2 linked regions of the Callithrix jacchus genome follow. The protein of the gene in region 2 interacts with the protein of the main gene of each other region in a biochemical or structural test. Links are inferred from orthologs where the notes say so. Each region holds a gene or a part of one and is shown on either strand. Other genes may lie near its edges. The genes, in order: KLHL6 and RC3H2.

What was found.
Region 1: the proteins of RC3H2 (region 2) and KLHL6 form a complex in vitro, tested with the Homo sapiens proteins (2 studies listed by BioGRID, with this or other methods). The link is inferred for Callithrix jacchus from reciprocal best matches to the Homo sapiens genes RC3H2 and KLHL6.

Annotation. Positions count from the first base shown.
Region 1 is NC_133516.1:12,549,844-12,553,666, forward strand, and holds part of KLHL6 (kelch-like protein 6), read right to left. Parts: intron 3,054-3,823; coding exon 2,851-3,053; intron 833-2,850; coding exon 619-832; intron 365-618; coding exon 63-364; 3' UTR 1-62. UniProt on the Homo sapiens protein: Involved in B-lymphocyte antigen receptor signaling and germinal center formation.
Region 2 is NC_133502.1:171,477,362-171,481,184, forward strand, and holds part of RC3H2 (roquin-2), read right to left. Parts: intron 3,106-3,823; coding exon 2,672-3,105; intron 2,090-2,671; coding exon 1,919-2,089; intron 1-1,918. UniProt on the Homo sapiens protein: Post-transcriptional repressor of mRNAs containing a conserved stem loop motif, called constitutive decay element (CDE), which is often located in the 3'-UTR, as in HMGXB3, ICOS, IER3, NFKBID, NFKBIZ, PPP1R10, TNF and in many more mRNAs.

The sequences.
Region 1 (3,823 bases), on a different chromosome or scaffold from region 2:
GGGTAAGAGGTGAAGCGGGCACACTGAGGGTCTGAGCAGCTCCCCAGCTCCCCATTCTGCGCTCAGACAGACACCGCTCCAGGCACAATCCTGCGGATGTGGGTGTACGACTTCCTGATGGTGACGCTGCCATGGTGCGACACACCCCGGGGCAGGACGCACTCCTCTGTCAGTCTCTGGGTCTCGGGGTCCCAGCATAGCACGGTGGCGATGACCTCGTTCTTCTCGTCCCTCCCACCAGTGATGTAGAGCCGGTTGTTACAGGGCGCGATGCCGCAGCTGGCCCGCTCGTGGCTGAGCTGGGTCACCAGGCACCAGCTGTCTTCCAGGGGGCTGTAGGCATACAGCGCTCTCATGGCTCCACCTGAGGACAGGGAGGGAAGAGGTGGACATCCCTCCAGTTTCTGCCTTCTTCGCTCTTAACCACTAAAACTCAGCTCTGGTTAGGCCATGTCTACCCTCTTCCCAATAGAAACAGTAGATTAATGGCTCCTCTGAAAACCAGAGTGGGTCCCAGGGGCAGTGAGTGGCCAGCGCTGGAGACACACCCTTTCTGTGCTGCAGCCAGGCACGAATCCAGCTCTAAGCTATTCAGATAAAGAAGAAGCCCTTACTCACCAACAACATAGATGCGGTCCCGGAAACTCACTGCATTGATGCATTTCGCCTCCACTGGCATGGCCGCCTTCAGATTCCACTTGTTGGTTGAAGGGTCATAACACTGAGTCTTGTCTGTGGCCAGTTTCCCATTGGGCCCTCCCCCAATCACGTAGAGCTTCTTCTTATGGCTGGTGGCTGCAAAGGAGCTGACGTGGACAAGGAGGGGCGCGGCCTGTGGAGGCACAAGGCACAAGAAGCAGCTGTCAGTCATGATGCCCAGGTTGCTGCAGTAGCTCCCAGGGTGCAGGACGGAGCTCCAGGACACAGAACTGGGCAGCTTTTGCCTAAAGTCACAAGGCGCCTGTGCTTCACTCCTCTTAAGACTCAGCGAGAATGAAAGCATGTATTTCCCACCCTCCCTGCAGGCTCCACACAATCTAGAGCAAGCTGTGTGCTGGCATGTGCCAGCCTCTCCCAGAGTCCAGCTCTCAGGGAAGGAAGAGGATAGGCAAGAATAAGTTTATACAGATGAAGTCAGCCAATGTTGGAGGAAAATTATTATTATTATTATTATTATTATTTTGGAGACAGAGTTTAGCTCTTGTTGCCCAGGCTGGAGTGCAATGGGGCAATCTCAGCTCACTGTAACCTTCACCTCCTGGGTTCAAGCGATTCTCCTGCCTCAGCCTACCAGGTAGCTGGGACTACAGGCATGAGCCACCACGCCTGGCTAATTTCGTATTTTTAGTAGAGACGAGGTTTCTCCATGTTGATCAGGCTGGAGTCTAACTCCCGATCTCAGGTGATCCGGCTGCCTTGGCTTCCCAAAGTGTCAGGATTACAGGTGTGAGCCACCACGCCCAGCCCAGGAAAATGATTTTTTTATACATGCATGTTCATATTAATTCATGTGCTTGTCCACTCAAAAAATATTTATGGAGTGCCTACTGTGTACCAGCATTGATTTTCCTTGATGCTTATGTCTAGGAAGAAAAGCTGGTATATGGGTTTAAGGTGGCCACAGGTAAGCGGGCTCTTCCACTATAGGGCAACACTGAAGCTTTTGAGATTAAGTCAGACATGTGCTTCTACCCTGGGAACCCCTGGACACTAAAGGAGCGTCTTGCCCAGTTACATGACACTTTGCATCATGGAGCAGCTCTGGGATAGGACTTGTTTTGAGGAGATCTTGGGCAGGTCCCCTGTAAGTGCTAAGAGCTATCCATATAGCACTTTTCAGGCTGACAGTCTTGGCTAGATGATGTGGTGACTTGGCTGCCTCTGCTTGTGCCTGCAATGATGGGGTTGTACTCTCCATTAAGCTGGGACATGCTCGGACATCTGATTTGATAAGGAGAAAGAAAATTGGAAACTGGGAATAACCTGGAAATGAGATCAGGTAGCTTTTCTTTTCCTGGTGTGATATATACCTGAGGTTGTGCTGCTAAAGTCTGACATGCAGGCCTGCAAGTGGCTCTTCATGGATGAGAAAATAATGAGGGGATGATTTCTAACATGACAGAATAACTCTGGGTTCACAAATAGTGTAGTAAAGTGATCTGCACGTGTCCAGTGTAGAGAAGAATAGGAGAGAAGGCATCTGAGGAGAAAGGACCCTAGGCCAGGACATGGAGACCAAGAGAGCTGCCATGCACAACAGTGTAAGCCTCTGCCCACATCTGGGGCTCTGGCCGGATTAGGACAGGTGCCCACACAGACCTTCACCACCTGGAAGACATTGTTTCTGTGACTTAATCAGCAAAAAGTATGGGGGAGGGAAGCTCAGAGCCACCAGAAATGTTCTCCTCGGAAGTAATGTGATCAGAAAGCTGGCTACCACTGTGGGTACATTCCCAAGCTTTTTTAGAAAAAAAAAAAAAAAAAAAAAAAAAACATTGAAGTAATAATACAGACAGTTAGTCGTACAAATCATCTCCTGGCTGGGCACAACGATACCTCATGCCTGTAATCCAAGCACTTTGGGAGGCCAAGGCAGGCAGATCACGAGGTCAAGAGATCAAGACCAGTCTGGCCAACATGGTGAAACCCCATCTCTACTGAAAATATAAAAATGAGCTGGGTGCGGTCGTGGGCGCCTGTGGTCCCAGCTACTCGGGAGGCTGAGACAGGAGAATCACTTGAGGTTGCAGTGAGCCAAGATCGTGCCACTGCACTCCAGCCTGGGCAACAGAGTGAGACTCCCTCTCAAAAAAAAAAAAAAGAAAAGAGAAAAGAAAGTATTTCCTCTACCTCTGACCAGCAGTTGTGAAAGGGGTCATAGGTCTCCACATTGTTGATTCTCTGTAAGCCGTCGAAGCCTCCGATCACATAGACCTTACCACCCAGCACCACCATCTTATGCCTCCAGCGGCCTATGTTTAAATACTCAATCTGAATCCATTTGTTGATCGAAGAGTTATATTTCCAAACATCATGCTGTGTTTCTTTGCCACCTGCAAGAGATAAAAAGCATTTAAGAAACCACCAGATGTGTCAGAAATACAGCATCTCCCATAATATCCCGCATGTCCAAAAATGCCAGGTTCCTAGGCCAGCCTCACCTTGAGGGGAGATCAAAGCAGCCCTGAAGGCGTGTGCGGTCTAGTGGGGAGACAAGGCAGATGCAGGGGGACAGTGGGAGAGAGAAATGCATTGTGAACACACGGTGCCGCGTGCCACCTCAGTGCAGGCAAAGTTCAGAGAAGGGGTAGCTAAGTGAGCGGTGTCCCAGGAAGGCTTCAGAGGGCAGGCCCCAAGTCAGCCTAGGTGGGTAGGGGCCCGAGGGAGCCTGGGCTCAGCGTTCGTGCTCACAAGGAGCAGGAAGTAAGGCTGGGCAGGGACAGTGTGCTTTGTCCAGAAGGCAAATTACATGGCAGCTTAAGTTCTATGTTGACTTATTTATTTAAAAAAAAAAAGCAAAGATACGGACCTGCAAAAATCACCAAGAAATCGTACAACATTCTCTTGGTTTGTCTTTCTGATCTATATAGAAAGATCAGTGGGACTTACCCTATTTCTAAATTAATATTTGTTAGAAAAGTACGAGATGCTCACAACAGATCATTTGAGAGTGGCCTGGTAAATATTTTCTTGAAGACAGCTCTCTTAAAAAACAGAAAATATGTAATTCAGCAGCTGGGGAAAGAGACAAAAGGGAAAACTGACTTTCTGTGATTTTAATCAACGATTTCACAGCTCTATTTTTCCATTTTCCCATAGAGTA
Region 2 (3,823 bases):
TAATATAAAGTAACTATTATAGAATTCAAAGGACTTCATAGTGAACAATTACACTCTTTCAATAACTAATATAAAAAACTAATAAACAAATGGTATTTTTACAATAGAAAATGGCATGCTTTCCCTTTTCACTTTGTCCTTTAAGTGCTCATATGGAACATCTGACTAATACTATCAAAACCACTTAACAAATATTTATAGTATGCTACTAATATGGTATTGGGTGCTCCAATAAAAAAAAAAAAAATACATAGATACACACAGAGATCACAGTCCATATCCTAAAGGAGTTTATAATTTTCTTTTGAGACAGGGTCTCACTCCCACCGCCCAGGCTAACGGGCAGTGGGGTGATCACAGTTCACTGCAGCCTTGGCTTACCGGGCTCAGGTGATTTTCCCAACTTAGCTTCCCAAGTAGCTGGTACTACAAGTATGTGCCACTATGCCCAGACAATTTTTTGTATTTTTAGTAGAGATGGGGTTTTGCCATGTTGCCTAGGCTGGTGTCAAACTCCTGGGCTCAAGCAATCCACCCACTTTGAACTTCCAAAGTGCTGGGATTATGGGCATGAGACACTGCACCCAGCAGAGTTTATAATTTTCTTGAGAAAAAGAACACCATGTGCAAATAGGGGAATATAACTGATAAATTAGGCAGCATCACGTAAAGAACAAAAGGAATTCAAAGAAGGCTTTGGAGCTAAAGGAGAAATAAATTTTAAATGGGCGTGAATAATACTATAGGACCATAATACAAAAGTTGTAAGAATTATTAAATCTAGTTTACTAATTATTCGAATTAAAAAAACTCAAGGCCAAAAAGGTTAAATAACTTTTCTTAAGTCAAACTCAGCATATCTGAGTATCAGAGAAATAATGATTTCCTGAAGCCTAGTATATCTATAAAGAAAATACAAGCGGCATCTATAAAGCAAGTGGCAGCTCTGTGACTCTGTTGTCAAGATATTTACCTGCTTTGAAGAGGTCTATGTTTGACAAGACCAATTTGGATCTGGTTTAAAAATTCAATGCTTTATTGAAATATTTATGGATTAAAAAATATAACGCCTAATATGACTTCTAAACAATCCAGCAGGAAGAAGGGGGTACAAATAAGACAGTATTGACTGAGTTGATAACTGTGGAACCTGGGTGTTGGGTACAAGGAATTTATTATGTTATTCTCTCTATACTTGCATATGTTTGAAATTTTTTATAATAAAAAGATTTAAAAATTTTTAATATCATAACTTCGGGGATGGGGAATAAACCAGAAGAAACTTTAAAAAGAAATTAATGGTTTTCTCTAAATATAACAGTACTGAAAACATCATATTATATTAAAATCAACTTGGTACAAAAATTTATTTTGTAATGCCAAAAACAATAATTAAGGTGATATAAAGAGCATAAAAAATACCATAGGTATTTCTGCATCTCTTGTGAAGTACAGAAGAAATACCTCAGATAGCCCAGGATTCAAATCCCAGCTATTTACAGGCTGAAAGATCTTGGGCAAATTACTTAACTTCTGTGAGTAGGATTCCTACCCTGTAAAATATGGAAAATACCTGCCCCCTAAGGTTTTTGTGAGAATTAAATAAAATAGCTTTATGCAATTGCTTAATACAGTACTGGCAAATGGCTTTACGAGTAGGTGCTCAATAAATGATAGATATAAATCACACTAAATAAAAAACCATAAAATTATTACTGGAAAGATTTTGAATTCTTCGTAAAGGACTATGGGTTAATGGTCTTCAGAGTCTCCTAACACCTAGCCATAGTGCACATATATTCAGTGTTTATTGAACTAAACTCAACTGCAGACCAAACCATTGCAAAATATCCAACATAGCCAATCCTGGTTTGAATGAGTAATTTGAAATCAGCTATTTGATTAAAACCTTTCTTACATCCGCACGAAAGTCTACACTGAATAGAGGAGAAGGTGGTGTTGGTGACTGTGTTGCCACAGGAAGAGTTGAAGAGACAAGAGGTGCTTTCTGAGTGTGGTACTGTGCCCACTGATCTGGCTTTCTTCTTATCTGCTCCTCGCAACTGGTCTTCAAATGACCACAAGGTTCCTAATGGGGGATAAAAGAAACAATCTTAATCATCTAGGGCGTGGTCAATAATTTAACTGTGTGAAAATAATGTAAACAGTTTATGATATTGTCGGGATAAAAAAATACACCAGGGAAAGTCACCCTAGTCTGTTCTCCATACACTGAAATAAAAAGGTTTAATATTTATTCAACTGATGTTAAAAGCAAAATCTGAGCACTCACTTTTCTGGTTTAGGAAAGTCATTTGTATATATGTGGTGATACTGAACAAAGGCCCTAACCTTGTATTTTTAAGATTTCTTTCTACTTTCCCAACAATTTCCTATCCAAACATAACATTTATTGAGCATTAACATGTATCAGGCCCAGTTCTAAGAGGTTTGATTTCTTAATTTAATTCTCACAACAGCCTTATGAGATAGGTACTACTATTGTTTCCATCAAATGAAAGAACTGAGGCATTGAGAGGTCAAGTAAATTCCTTAAGTCACACAATTAGTAAGTGGAAGAGCCAGGATATCCACCTGGGTGGTTTGACTCCAGACACTGGGCTCTTAATGACTGCATTATAGTAGCACTCCTATTTCCATCATCACTTACCCTTGGTAAAGGCACAGTTGTCCTTGGCTCACTTGGTGGCTGACAAGCCACCGAGTAATATCCATCTAATGAGTTATATCTTTCCCGCAAAGATGTCTGATAGACAGATGAGTGCATCACATCCATTGGAGGTAAAGAATTGCTTCTAATAATGTCATCTCGTTGGTACATAGGTGGGCGCCAGATGCGCCTGCTGTCATACACAGGAGCATACATTCCAGAAGGTACTGGAGGAACTGGTCCATACGGCTGCGGAGGAGGAGGTTGGTAAGGAGAAGAATTCATTCGATCTCGAGGGGAAAATGTACTGTAATGATCGGCATATGGCATGGAAGCAGGTGGGAGGGAGGACTCTGGAACATTATTGGACCTCACAAAGCGAGGAACACAGGGAGCCACACCAGCTGGTACCGTTGGAGGTGGTGGATAGTATCCTTGAAAATTGGAAAGAGGAATATTTAATGTAATCTTAGTACAATCCAACATTTTATAATGGCTTAAATCTAACACAGCCCTTAATGCAGGAAAGTATAATAAGCTGTGAACCTTACCTTATTCTGCTTTATAAAGCTTTATACAGTGCTTTTTTTTGGGGGGTGGGGGGTAGAGACAGAGTCTCACTATGATACCCAGGCTGGTCTTGAACTCCTGGGTTCAAGCGATTTTCCTGGTTGGGCCTCCCAGAGTGCTGGGATTATAGGTGTGAGCTACCATGCCTGACCATAAGCTACATATTTTCAAGATATAACTATATGAAAATCATTAACATTCAATACTTTGTTAAAGTGCTCCTTAAAACACACGACAGAGCTATTAATATGTGGCTAGCAAATATCCTATTGCCACTGGTTTTCAATCAAATAATCAGTTACATCATTGACTTTTATTAACCTTATTGGGAGAAGAGGTTAAAGACCTCTTTCAAAATCTATGTAAGTTGTTCACTGTATTATCAAAATTGCACATAAGCATACAAACTTTTTTTTACATCATTTTAGGGAACTCACAGAAAACCCCCTGAAGTTCATTCCTGAACCTATATTTGATTTGTAAGAATGACAACCTTAAAGCTGTTAGTATTCAGAACCACAGATCTTTAGGGGAAGGAAAAAAACTTAAAAGTCATATAGTCAAAAGGATTAATTTTTTAAA